Caenorhabditis elegans: one gene and its partners. The protein of the gene in region 3 interacts with the protein of the main gene of each other region in a pairwise test. Each region holds a gene or a part of one and is shown on either strand. Other genes may lie near its edges.

Region 1 (3,949 bases), on a different chromosome or scaffold from region 3:
CTAAATAGATTTTACTTACAACAACTTGATCTTCAAATCCATTGTCGTCTTCTTCTTCATTATCATCATCATCATCGTCCGATTTGTCGCCGGATGCATCAGCTCCAAGCCAAGCTCCGCGTTGTCTGTAACAGAAATACTTGCATTGAATTATGATAAATTGTTTATTTACCTTTTTGGAACACTAGATGTGGCTGATTCGGTTTCTTGTCTTTCCAGTGCCTCTTCGAGAAGCTGCTTACGAGCTTCATTCAAGATTTTTGATGAGAGCGAATCAGGAACGAACTGAAACTAATTTTATGAACTCTCTGGTCAATGAAAATAATATTTAATTTTCCCTGAATATTTACTGACCTCGTCTGTCTGCGAGTCTTCCCTTTTTCTCTTCTGCTTTTCGCGAAGCTCATCTCGTTGCTTTGCAACTTTACCAGCTTCCAACTGGTTATCCAGTGGAGCATTGGCTGATAATTTGTCACCCCTTCCTTTCAAATTCCTTTTCACCATGTTACTGGAAATTCATAATTAAAAATTAGCAGAATTACGGTGTTCAATATATTCTGAAAGGATCAGAAGCCTGTTCATAAGATTTAAAATGAATGTAACATACGCAATTTCATTATTTTCCAGAAAAAGAGAACGCCAGACAAAAACATTTTGTCAAACAAAACCAAGGTGGCTCTATAACTTTTAGGGGGCAATACTAAACTCTAAATTGAAAGAGAATTAGAATGTTTGAACCAAGTTGGATGGGATAGGGCCAGTACTAAAAAGGGGTGATTAAAAAGATGAAATCACGCATAAAATAAAAATGTGGGACGGTGGGGGTGGAGGAGAAAACAGATAACATGGATAAATATGAGGAAACAAGAGGAAGGGAAAAGCGTGTGGAACAATCGTGGAGGGGATCGGAATTGGATTAAAATTTAGATGAGGTCAGCGATTGATTCTGGCATCTCTTCGATTTGAGTGGTGTAGTAGCTTTCAATTTCCTTGAGCTGACGAGCATCGTTCTCGGTGACGAAGTTGATGGCAACTCCCTTACGACCGAAACGTCCAGAACGTCCGATACGATGGATGTAGTTCTCACGATTGGATGGGAGATCATAGTTGATAACAAGTGAGACCTAAAATATATACATTCCATAGTATTGAATTATAAACACAAATATTTATACTTACCTGTTGTACGTCAATACCACGAGCCAAGATGTCTGTGGTGATGAGAACACGGGAAGATCCTGAACGGAACTCTCGCATAATTGTATCACGCTCAGCTTGATCCATGTCTCCGTGGAGGCAAGAGACTGTGAACTGATTTTCAGTCATTTTCTCGGTGAGTGTGTCGACCTTCCTGCGAGTGTTACAGAAGATGACGGCTTGAGTAACATTGACAACGTTGTAGAGATCACAGAGGCAGTCAAACTTCCACTCCTGAAAAAATGGTTCATGAAAACAATTTCTTAGACTGGGCGAGTAAACTTACATCCTTTTGAACGTTGATGTAGAACTGTCTGATACCTTCAAGGGTGAGCTCGTCCTTCTTGACAAGAATGCGGATTGGATTGCGCATGAAACGATTAGTGACATCAAGAACTTCAGATGGCATAGTAGCCGAAAGAAGGACTACTTGAACGTCTTGTGGCATGGAACGGAAAACCTCGTAGATCTGATCCTTGAAACCTCTAGAAAGCATTTCGTCGGCCTCGTCGAGAACGAACATCTTAATTCTGGATGTGTCAAGAGCATTTCTATTGATCATGTCTCCAACACGTCCTGGAGTTCCGACAACGACGTGAATTCCGGCTTCGAGTTTTCGTTGATCGTCGCGAACACTGGTTCCACCGATACATGGAAGAATGTTAACGTTGAGGTACTCTCCGAGGGCGCTCATGACCTTTTGGATCTACAAAGAAAGATTTTGAAAAGTTTTCTTTAAAAGTATCTGCTAATAATCTATAACTAAAATACACTGAGTGAGAAAGTTTACCTGTTGAGCCAATTCTCTGGTTGGGGCCATAACGAGAGCTTGCACGTGTGGATCCTCGTGGTCGATTCTCTGAAGAATAGAGACCGAGAAAGTTGCAGTCTTTCCAGTTCCAGATTGGGCTTGAGCGATGACGTCCTTTCCAGTGGTGCATGGAACAATTGCGCGCTTTTGAATAGCAGATGGCTTTTCGAAACCGAATCCGTAGATTCCGCGAAGAAGCTCCTCCTTGAGCTCCATGTCGTCGAAAGATTCGACGACTTGATCATAGTTTCCCTAAAATTGAATGTATTCAAATTATAATAAATTATGTACATTAACTAACCTCGATCAAGCCGTCGGCATCGACCACCGAAGATACGTTCACATCATTTTTAACATCGGTCATGACAGGTGGGTTGAAAAGTTAAAAATTAACTTTTGGAAGTGCGATTGAGTTTCTGAAATTGAAGTAAAATGAAATTTCGAAAGTATTTCAGCATTAAATACAAAGATAAGGGTGTTGAAATAGTTCTTCAATAATAATAATTGCGAAATACAGTATCTCAATCCTAAAATTTTCGAATAAACCCATCCAAAAGAAATGAAAGAAAAGTTTCGACCTAAAAACCTTTGTTTTTTTGAGAAAAAGCATTTGAAATAAATATATTCTTAACACGAAAAGCATAAAAAACGTTTAAAAAAGCTTTAAAATCTAAAAAGAGGCTAAGAAACCGCCCCAAAACCGGGCCAAATCATTCGAACAAGAGTGACGGGTCTCGAAGCGAAGAGAGTGTTCATTAGAGCGCACATTCATACCATCAATTTTTTTTGAAGAAAAATGGCTCTTTTTTATTTGACCAATTCAATTCTTTATAATTTTTATGTACATTTGGTTATACACATTTTTGAATTCATTTTTAAAATAATTTTAATGATATAGATTCAAAATCTATACTTTTTCCGTTTTTTGAATGCAACCTGCGTAAAAAAAAGACGAGTAATCACTAACACTGACGACAGTGACATGCACTTAAAAGTGGTTCGAAATTTAAAAAATTAATTTGGATTTTTGAAGCCAAAGTAAATAATAAGGAAAGTTAGAAGGCTGAGTGTGTATGAGGTCCTCATAAAGAAAGTGAGAAATGTTGGTTGAACGATGAGAGAGCACAGCGAGCAGACTGGTCAATTTAGGCAAATGAGCGCGACGAATGAGAGTAAGAGCCGTAGAGAGCACAGCGTGCGGTGTTCCAGACGCGATGAATAAGAGAGAAACGAGAAGAACACCATCTGCTCTTCAAAAACACCTGTTGACACCGAATTAGGGGCTTGGTTAAATGCCAAAAACTGCATTGTTCGTGGATTAGGAAGAAATTGACCTATGTAGACTGTTTTGTATTGTGAACAAGAATAAATATTAAATACAGAGAAGAAAAGGTATCTGAAATCAAATAAAAAAAAGAGATCAAATTCATTGTCATGTTCACAGGCCATAAAAATCCTGAATTTTGCGGAAGGCTGTTCTCCCTCATTTCCCTCCTCCTCACTCAACCCTCACACATATTGACATAAATCTCGAAAGACGGAATCCGCGCGGACACAACGCGCGTTGGAAACATTACACTCATTTTCACTGCTGCTTCCTCTCTGTTCGTTATTGATTTTTCGCCATTTAAAATATTCAAATTCTCCTTTCTTGTGCACACACCATAAACACATACAATTTTCAGAAATCATGAGCTCATACCCATCCAGTGGTCGCCGGCGACCTATCACCCGATCAGAAGCCGAAGAAAGAGCATTAGACAAAATTTCCAGAGAGGTATCTTAACAATTTGAAAAATTCGAATTAAAAACTAAAAGTTTTAGGCGGAAGCTCGAATGAAATTGAAACGAGAAACACGAGAACAAGCCCGACAAGGAAGATATCAGTTGTTAGAAAAAAAAGTTGAAGAAGATGCGGAAGCTTATCGTCATGATACTGCT
Region 2 (3,365 bases), on a different chromosome or scaffold from region 3:
GACTTTGATCCATCGATAATCATGGACGAAAAAATGAGTTCCATGGCCAGGTAGGAATGATATTGATAATTCAGTTTTGCCACTTTCAGCTTGATGAACAACTGTATTCGCTGATAAATTCCGTGTTTGGGTAGCACTTCGATTATTAATGAAATCGAGAAGCCATGGATACGCTCTAAAATCATTATATTTTCTGATGGATTTCTGTAAATAACTTACGCGTCTTCGTTATTAATTTGAAGATTGATCATAAAACGCCTACGAAAATACGTGTTGCTGATTTGAGCTGTCCTCCGCAGAAAGCTCATTGCTATTCCTATTCCCGCTAGACCAGCTCCCGCATTAAAATACGGGTTTTGATTCAAATTGTCATACAAATCGGAGAAAAAGGAAGAGTCTTTTGATGGGCCTGGTTTTTTATCGGAAACGACAGGATTTTCCGACATCTTAACTTTAACTGAAATTTAGACTTCAAAAATCAAGAAATCCAATGTATAATTTTATCGTACTCGAACAAATTGTAACAAAACTCGAGACTGTCAACAAATACATTCATTTGAAAACGAAATAACAAAAAGAGAGTTACTCCTGTTGCTCCTTGAGTTGGAGAAGAAGGGCCTTCTTGTCGGCAACACGTTGCTTTCTCTCGTCATATGTGAGCCTCTTGGCGGTGTGTCTCTTGGATGGCTTGGCAGCCTTCTTTGCGGCTGGAGAGGCATCAGCACGGATGGCGGAGTGGACCTTTTGATAAGTCTGAATATTTTAAACATTGGTTACAAAAATAGGAATAATTCAACTTACGGCAACAAGGTTATCGGCGTTCAATCCAGCGGCAAGGAACTTGGAGAATTGGCGCTTGTAACGATCCTCATCCTCTTCCTTCAAGTAGGTCATGTAGTCAGCAACATGCTTTCCGAGAATGCGGTCGCGGTGGGCCTCAGCATTGTACTCCTTCGACTCTTGATCGAATCCGAAGAATCTGCTCTCACTGTGGGGAACGTTGATGCCTCCATCAGCAACTCCCTTCATCACAGCGAAGATCTTGGATCCGGTGGTGGTGCGAGCAAGTCCGATGTCGAGGACAGCCTTGAATGGAGCGCGGTCTCCCTCCTCTTCTACATTGTAGTCTTCTCCAGTAAGCTAAAGTATGAATTTAAAGTAAGATCAAATAGAAATACAAAATACCTCTTCGTGGCCCTTGTAGGTGGAGTCAAGTCCGATGGTCTTCAAGTGACGACGGGCAAGAAGAAGTCCGGTGGCGTAAGCAGCGGCGTAGTTGGTAAGTCCGACCTTGAGTCCGTAACGTGGAAGTTCGTGGGAGTAAGCCGAAGCGACAACGACGTCTCCTTCGATCTTGGAGTAAGCGAGCTGAAACACTTAAATTAATATATTCTACATTTGAAATTAATGAAAACCTTACCTGAGCGACAACATCCTTGTTTGTGATGCGGACGATCAAACGGTACTTTGGGGTGTTGTACTTGTTCTTGTCCTGGACGGTAAGACGCTTTCTGGCATAGTAGTCAGTCTTTCCCTCACGTCTACGTCTCAGCTTGACCTGGTAGCGCTTGAAGTAGGCCTTGTTTTTAATGACCTTGACGAGACCCATGTTCTTCTGCAATATTATATTTTTAAAACTATCCTGTATAGAAAGAGAGAAACGAAACGATTATCGGGAAGAAACCAAGCTTATTTTCGAAGGAAACGGGAAGTTCTAGCGTTCGCCATTAGCAAAAAATGACTAACAAAAATAATATTACGAGTGAACAATGAAACTCTCAAAGATGGCGGAATTTCAAGCAAAGAAAACGATAAATATTCGAAAAAATCGAAAAAGTGTAGACAGTGACTTTAAAAATCGATAAATCAGTGTAATCTTATTTTTTGTTTAATTTTATTTTAAAAAAATCGTGAAAAGCACTGAAAAATCAAAAAAAGAATAGAAAATTTTTAGGACAACACAAATTTGCTTCAAGTCCGCAATCAGACGCGAGTTGATGGTGTGCGTACACCGCCACTGCACACATAAAGTTTGATGCGCAGGCGCGGGAATTCAAACAGCAAGGGTACGGTAGGCATCGCTTCCAAACGAGAAAACGTTGTGAATTAACTTCAAAATATAAGTTTTTAGTAGGGAAACAGACAGAAAACAAATCGTATATGAATTGAGATATTAAAAAACCAATTTTAATGCAAATCAGAAAAAAAAACACTCAAGAAGATTATCCGGCAATGAAAAATGGACGGAAAAGCAGGTTTTCCTTATCACTAATGGTTTTTTGCACCAAAAACTTAGAAACAATTTCCCATACGGTCCTAACTTTTTATTCGATTCTTCGCGCTGTCGAAAAAAGTGGATTCGCTTCCAGTACCGTCACGCATCTCTCTCAAGTTCACATTATATCTCACCACGAACGTCTTCACTATTAAAATGAATCGTTTCCTGATGGAACACTCAGACATCGTCTAAAAATGTCAAAATATTTGGTTCCCGTTTGTGCTTCTATTTCGCTGGTTGCCGTTTTTGGCGCCCTTGTCGCCATGCATTCCATTGTTGTCGATATTGACACGATGAGAGAAGAAATTGTAACTGGAGTCCATGACATGAAGGTTGGTAATTATGATAAACCTGTTAGTATTTATATTTAAAGTATTAGTTTTTTATAAATCTATGAGTTATAGTCAACTTGGACTCCGAAAGGATTCAACTGGATATGCCTATAAAAAACTGTTTTCAGGTGATGTCTGATGATGCATGGAATCGTATGATTGGATTCACCAAGCCATCTCTTGATTCTGAATCCCGCAGTGCCGCTTTCGCCAGCGTTTTCCGTAACAAGCGTTCTGCTTATCCATCTCAATGTAATTGTGATGCCAACTCTCAAGGATGCCCACCAGGACCACCAGGACCACCAGGACTTCCAGGAGGACGTGGAGATCAAGGACCATCTGGAGATAAGGGACGTGATGGAGCTTCTGGAGTATCTCTGGCTGTTACCCATCATCTTCCAGGAGGATGCATTCAATGCCCACAAGGACCACCAGGAGAAACTGGACCAGACGGAGATATTGGAGAGCCAGGATTCCCAGGAGCATCTGGATCTGCAGGACAATGTGGAGAAGATGGAGCTCCAGGAGAGGCCGGAATCACTGGAGAACAAGGACCACAAGGAGAGCCAGGAACTGAAGGATCTGAAGGACCAACTGGACAAGATGGAACTATTGGAGGACCAGGACTTCCAGGACAACCAGGAACTCCAGGATGGCCAGGATCTCAAGGAGAACCAGGAAAGAACGGAGATTCTGGAGTTGATGGAGAGCAAGGACCACAAGGACCACAGGGACCAGATGGACAACCAGGACGT
Region 3 (6,776 bases):
TGCTTGCTCAATTCAGCATCAATCTGCCTGTTTTGCCATTTGAAAGTTCTGCTTCTTTGGGAACATCTACCACATCCAGCTCGGTAAGCATATCATATTTTCTCAAAATCTTGTAATATTATTTGTATTTTCAGAGATGCTCTTCAACTGAAAGTTCTGCTGCTCCTGGTAAAATCCGTCGTGGTCGACCACAACAAGAAATTGCAGATGGACAAGATGCTCACAGTCAAAAGAAGCGTCATCGCCGTCTTTATGCTCGCCAGTACCGTGCTCAAATGCGCCAAAAGGTGGAGAATGTGAAAAGTCTTCATGATGAGAAGGAGCAACTCGAGTTGGAAGTAAAAGCTCTCCGGCAAGCAGTTAGTGGTCTTCAACAAGAAAATGCTCAAAAAGATTTCTTGATCAGTATTTTGCAACTCAATAATCAAATCAACCATTCCTAAGAACATCTTCAATATTCCCCTCTCCCGAATCCTCTTTGCCATAATTTTTCAAATTCGCTCATTCTTTGCTGACATAATTTGGTCTTCTTTCGAAATGTTATTAATAAAAATTGACACGGTTTTGATTCATCTTTGTGCAAACATCCAACTACAGAAGAGTTACAGAGATTCTTTCCAAAAAAGAAGTTGAGAAAAAATAACAGAAAACAAATAAAAAATATATTAAAATTAGTCGCGTCGAGACCTCTTTGATTCTCCACGGGAGTCTCCACCATCCCCACCTCGTTTCTTTTCTTTGGTGTGCTCGAAAAGTGATGACAATCCGAAAACATCTTGATCCTTCTCGAACTGAAATAAAAAGGTTAACATTTTGTAGTGATTCATAAATGCACAGTGACATTTAATGTTTTATGACTCATTGATAAGTAAATTTTAGAAGTAGTCACAGTCATTTTAAGAGCATCTTTTATGCAATTTCCTTATGAAATCTTTAGAAATTAGGTTTCAAAAAAATAATTCAGTAAATACATATATTTCTGAATACTACGGGTCCACACACTCAATTTCGCAGATGGAATTTTCTAAATTTCAATAACGTTCGATTCACAGTTAAACTCAATGCGTATAAACTATTTCGTTGGAATCAAATGCACTTTGACCAGATTATAGCATTTTCTACGCGTTCTGCAACAATTCGATCGTCACACGCAAACATGCCAAATCGGCCGCCATCGTGTCTGTCCTGTAATTCTAGACGATTCCGCATCGTCATCATTTTCTTGATAAGTTTATAATAAACTTTGTAAGAAATTTCGAAACTATGCCATGCACAATCACGATTCGGAAATATTGTCATGAAATATACTAGAATTATCATTGTCATTCTTAAAATGGCATGAAAATCGTATTTTCTGTCATCATCATCATCTAATGTTTTGCCCTTTGAACGCTGCTTGAACCAATTTATAAATCGACACGGATGATCGTTGGCTTATCCGCTTACTGCTTATCACTCAGTTTAGATGTTAGTCTACAATTAACACCATTTCGCCGAAAAAGTTTACCCAGCTCCCCGAGTTCGCTGCAAACAATTCCGGAAAAAAAATACGTTTCCTGTTCAAATCTAAACTATGAACATGGTTTAAACATTTGAAAAATTGGTGTTTTCAATATAGTAAATGCCAAATTTTTCAAAAATTTCAATTTTTTGATAAATTTCGATTATTTCTACAGGTTCGATCCCTAGAATTTCCAAATACGAATAAATACTATAAAAACTGGGAGGACAACTGTTTATTTCGTCCACTTTCATAATAAGCGAAAACTAAAACTAAGATTTTTTTGTTAAAAAATGCAATACGTATTTTTAACTACAATGCCACTTTGAGAGTGAAATTTTGATTTGAGCTGTTTCATTTACACGTATATTCGGAGCAAAAAGTTATCATTTCCTAAAAATAGACCGAAATATAGTCAACACCGCTCTAGTTCTGTCTAGTATTTCAGTCATTTCAACTTTTAGAGTAAATCACATGTTGGTTCTAATGCTTCTGGCTTGTTGGTGATAAGACGTGATATTTCGTAAGTACTGATAGTGATTGGGTTATGAAAGATGCTCGCAAACACCAGCCTCCGTAGACACAACTCGATAAAATGCTGATCGTTCAGCTCGAAATGTGACTAGAAACAGTAAAGTAATTTAATACATTTTATGTGTTAAACTGAAGAGAATCTGCATCCCGAACTTAAGTAAAAAGAAAAGCTAATCGGCTATGATAGAAAAGATATAATTAGTTTTTGTTCAATAAGCTCTGAGCATTGTATAAAACTACAATATTGATGAATCCATAATTATTTATTATAACTCTAATTAGAATATCTAAAATTGGTTAACTTTTACAATCAAATTAATCGTGAGTTAAAATACATCAATAGTTCATTTCGACCATAAAGAGAATGGATGAAAACTGAACTTTGACATATTTTAATTATTTTAATCTTATTTTATCAATAATGTCAAACATATTACGCACGACAATTGAAGCTCATAAACCAAGAATGTAAAGAATCTTTTCTACTTCCAAAACACACTGCTGTGCGTGTCTTTTCGGAATGACGTAAATTAATGATCCATTTATGATAATGACCGCACAAATCAACGAATTGGTTCAATTCGTCGTTACTTATCAGTCAATTTTTGACGCTCATCAACAACGAGCCAGCGCCCAAATTCTCAAAATTCCCAGCTATTTTAGTAACGTAGTTAAAATTTCTGACAACAGATCAACTGACTAACCTGAACAGGTCCAGATCCACGACTCGAGCCCTCTGCTCCTGAAAATCCTTTATCAGCTACAAACCGATTCTTCTGTTCGATGATCTTGTCCAAATCGCCACCATAAACATCGTTGTCGAGATTTTTGCCTGCAAAAGTTTTATAAATCGTCATTTCTTCCTGTTTTGACAAAAATACAATTATTTTCGAAATTCGTATTTGCATAACGTCATTTTAATCGTAATGACTGCAGTACTACAAACGTCTTATCAAATACTAGGCACCTAAGTTGTGATTCTATTTTTAACGACAAATGAACCAGAACGGACATGAAAGTCAAATACATCAGTATCATCAAAGAGTTTTGTGAATTCCAACACCAATGAATTAGAAAAACAATAAATTTTAGAATGTCACAAATTCCTCAGTTCAGACATACATTAGGAAATCATTTCAATTTTGAAATATTAAAGAACTAACGGTTCTAGTTATTTTTGAACGTTTAGATTTTTATGGCGGTTCGAAATTTAGAAAAAATGAATCAATTTTGGCGAATTTTTCGTGTCGCAGAGGTTCAAAAATGATTTTTTTTGAATTATAATCTTTTTTTAAATTTTAATATCACGTAATATCGTCAATTGAGGTACTTTTTAAGCAAACATAGGTAATCAATTTCGGTAACCTTTCGATTTTAAATGTACCTTAGAATAGCATAAGATAAACTGCCAAAATAAGATTTCAGCTAAAATAATGTTTTTTTTTGAAATTTTAAAACGCCATAAAACTTTTTTTTTGAAAAACTTCTGGAACGTTTCATTATGAAATTCGTTCATTTTAGAGCATTGTGGGTATATATATATATATACATTCAAAATACCTAGACCCGTTACTAATTTTAATTTATATTTGAAAATAAGCAAGAAAAACTAACTCGGTCGATAAACGTGCTGTTGAACACTGTCACCGCCACGCCACGCAGCATCATAAGGATTGTAAGTATCATCGTCCATTGCTCCACTGTCGAGTCCCTGAAAAATAAATATATTAGTTAAATTTTATCGAAGAAGGAACTGAAACCTGGGTTTTATCAAACAATCTTTGATCGAACTGTGGTTCGCCAGTTCGTTTCTGATTCGTGTCCGGCAAACCAAGCACAATTTTCTCCGAAATATCTCTTTCACGCTCTTTGCGAAGCTTGTCAGCTTTATCTGGTCGTGAACGAGCAATATTTCTTTCTTTCCTGATATCGTCGAGACGATCACGTCGAATTTCTTCGCGAACTTTGACTTGTTCATCATCTTCATCGTCCTTTCTCCGCATCGCTGATCTTTCCTGGCGGGCTTTTGCTGCGGCTTCTGCCATTTTAGCCTCTTGCTCAGACTTCTTATTTTGAGCAACGCGTCTTTCAAGCTGAGCACGTGTCTCAACCTCTTCACGAGCTTTTCTATCAGCAATGTACAAAGCATCAGCAAGCTTCGCAAAGTTTTCATTAATATGAGTCTGTTGGAGACCACGTCCATCAGCAGCCAATCGTTTGTCCAACCCAACTGTGAATCCTTTTGGATTTTTCCAATTTGAAATACATGGTGGAATCTTCCAATCGTTTTGATCTTTAGCTGTCATTTTTCTTGGAGGAGAATGCATGACTGGTGCCGGTGGAGATGGTGGTGCTCTAGGAATCTTCTGATTGATTTTGAACTTTGGTGGTTCCATCGGATCTTTTTGTTCTTCAACCATTCTGATGATGCGCTGTTGTGATCCAGCAGCTCCATTCTGCTGACTTGGAGTGTATCTGATATATTGAGCAGGTGCTAACTTGTCGGCATGACGAACAGGAAGTGCTGAGGCTACTTTTGAATTTACGATTTTTTCCAAAGCCATTCTTGTCTTCTCCGTAGCATCGATAACAGCGTCATCGTCTGGTTTCTGAATATCATCATCATCCTCGTTCCACGTCTTGGCTTTCATATCATTAAGCTTGGAGTAGACAACTTTATCCTTAACATGTCCGATACGAGCAATAGCATCGTGTTGTAACTTTCCATCAGTTCCATATTGCAAGGCGAGCGTATTTTCTGGCTTTCCTCTCATATCTCCAAGACCTAATCCGAGAGGAAACTGAGCAACGTGAATTTCAGGGAACGCTCCGCCATCGCCAAAATCCTGGAAAAGAAAAATTAAGAAGAATATTAATATTTTCAATCTCACTTCAGGCCCTCTTGGTCGAAAACTGGTCCGTTTTCCGTACGGCGGTGGTTCCTTCGATACGAGTGCGGCGGATGGTTCGTTATCGCGCCCACCAAACCAAGGATCTCGTCGAATCTGTGAAGCTGCTTCGTCTGCCGCCACAGGAGCAGGAAGGATACTAAAAAACATTGGTTTTACATGATAATCAGTGAAATACACTCACTCTCGTAGTTTCATCGACATCCTGATGAAATACTGTCCTGAAATTGTTTTTTTAGACAAAAAAAGAATCAAATACAAAACTGGAAGATATTGTAGTGCCGATGAAACACAAGTTATAATTTCAAAACAAAAACATTGAATGAATAATAAAATAATGAATTAAGTGTTTATTGAACAGTGATTAAATCGAGTATATGAGATCAAATCAATAATTGGATAAGTTGCAGTAAGTGATGTAGAAAAATTATTTGCCGCGGCGGCTGTTAGATTTTGTTGTCGATGCTGTGTTCGGTACTTTTTTCAGCTGATCGAAGAGAGCATCAGAAGAAGAATGATTAGACAAATTATTTATCATCATCTCATGCTCAAAGAGTTTAGTCATAATCATGGCGGTTTGTGAGAGACGAACGGTATCGTTAATAGTTAATTCCGAGTCATCGAGCTTTCCAATCCGTACAAACTCGCACGGTTCATCACGTTTCGTGTGCTCGTACCACGGATCGTCTTCTGGGTCAAAATCAAGTTCCTTGTTGCAAAATGCACATTTGCCAGACTGAGGACCGGTGCAGTAAAATCCGGCTTGAGCAACCTAAAACAAGAATAATTTTATTTAAAACACGAAAATGGACAAACCGCTTGAGACGTGCATTTTGCATCCGGGTCTCTATCATATTCGAAATTTTTGAATGTCATCAAGCGATCTTTGTAGAATGTGAATTTTGCCATATCCGACTTTTTTTTGGTCCCGGGTGCCATTTTCTGAAATCAATGAAAAACAACTAGGTATCTTAATCTTGAGGAATCTATTTCGAACAGGTAGAGATTAAAAATTCGAAATACAGTTAAGAAGATTTGAACTAAAAACCACAATTCCAAAAAAATAAGTTGAAAGCGTTGAAATCGATTGATAAAAGGAAAAGATAAAACGAGACTTACATTGAAAATAATAAAACTTCGTGGCGTATTTTAATAGATTTCGAAAATGAAGTTTAATTTCATGAAATTCGCGCATCCACGCCACGTGGTTTTATTTTTTCAGTGTGTATTTAAATATAAATGAAAAACAAATCTCAGAAAACATTTATCGAATAAAATGTTGAAAAATCAATAAATGTAGCTCGCGTCGCACTGACGAATTTCGCGCTGAAATATACAGCCACCAAGAAAGCTAGGCCACGGCCATTGGTCAGTAGAGCGCACGTGCGCGCGTACCAAAACCTCCAAGAAGACAGGAAACTCAATGAGTTTGTTGAAAACTAAACAAATTAACAATAACTTTGATTCAATGGAAAAAGATTCTATTAACTTTTTAACCGGACGGTGTCGATCGAGCCTGCGGCTCAACCTCTCTCAACTGGCTAAAACTGAAATTTACCGTATTTCCTCTATTAAATAGTTAGGCACCTCTATTAGTTTTGCACCTCCATTAGTTTTGCATCTAAAATCACTAATCGAAAATTAGTTTTGCACGCTCTATTAGTTTTGCACCTCTAATAGTTTTGCACCCCTCCATTTGTTCCCTATTTTTAGGAATTTAAAATTTGCATTATAAAATCGTTCTAAAAATTAGGAAAACTCTTACAGACTTGGTATAACAAGTCAAAATTGGCAAAATATGAGTACAATTCGGACAATTTTTGCGTATCAGT

The links. Proteins that work in one complex are often made in the same cells at the same time.
Region 1: the proteins of skp-1 (region 3) and inf-1 interact in a two-hybrid assay, tested with the Caenorhabditis elegans proteins (one study listed by BioGRID).
Region 2: the proteins of skp-1 (region 3) and rpl-5 interact in a two-hybrid assay, tested with the Caenorhabditis elegans proteins (one study listed by BioGRID).

Annotation. Positions count from the first base shown.
Region 1 is NC_003281.10:6,928,560-6,932,508, reverse strand, and holds inf-1 (Eukaryotic initiation factor 4A), read right to left. Parts: upstream 2,376-3,949; 5' UTR 2,373-2,375; coding exon 2,310-2,372; intron 2,261-2,309; coding exon 1,988-2,260; intron 1,904-1,987; coding exon 1,484-1,903; intron 1,432-1,483; coding exon 1,180-1,431; intron 1,125-1,179; coding exon 924-1,124; 3' UTR 556-923; downstream 1-555. Other genes in the region: Cell adhesion protein byn-1, read right to left, coding at 20-125, 173-285, 355-504; flap-1 (Leucine-rich repeat flightless-interacting protein 2), read left to right, coding at 3,699-3,785, 3,833-3,949. UniProt on the Caenorhabditis elegans protein: ATP-dependent RNA helicase which is a subunit of the eIF4F complex involved in cap recognition and is required for mRNA binding to ribosome.
Region 2 is NC_003280.10:8,568,177-8,571,541, reverse strand, and holds rpl-5 (Large ribosomal subunit protein uL18), read right to left. Parts: upstream 1,616-3,365; 5' UTR 1,610-1,615; coding exon 1,421-1,609; intron 1,369-1,420; coding exon 1,186-1,368; intron 1,141-1,185; coding exon 802-1,140; intron 754-801; coding exon 583-753; 3' UTR 556-582; downstream 1-555. Other genes in the region: bcs-1 (Mitochondrial chaperone BCS1), read right to left, coding at 1-175, 220-446; col-38 (Cuticle collagen 38), read left to right, coding at 2,473-2,610, 2,739-3,365. UniProt on the Caenorhabditis elegans protein: Component of the ribosome, a large ribonucleoprotein complex responsible for the synthesis of proteins in the cell.
Region 3 is NC_003283.11:11,643,870-11,650,645, reverse strand, and holds skp-1 (mammalian SKIP (Ski interacting protein) homolog), read right to left. Parts: upstream 5,166-6,776; 5' UTR 5,149-5,165; coding exon 5,129-5,148; intron 5,084-5,128; coding exon 4,927-5,083; intron 4,882-4,926; coding exon 3,796-4,881; intron 3,747-3,795; coding exon 3,650-3,746; intron 2,868-3,649; coding exon 2,740-2,867; intron 792-2,739; coding exon 672-791; 3' UTR 556-671; downstream 1-555. Other genes in the region: Transcription factor zip-10, read left to right, coding at 1-83, 135-443; Chromosomal passenger complex protein bir-1, read right to left, coding at 5,372-5,716, 5,761-5,883.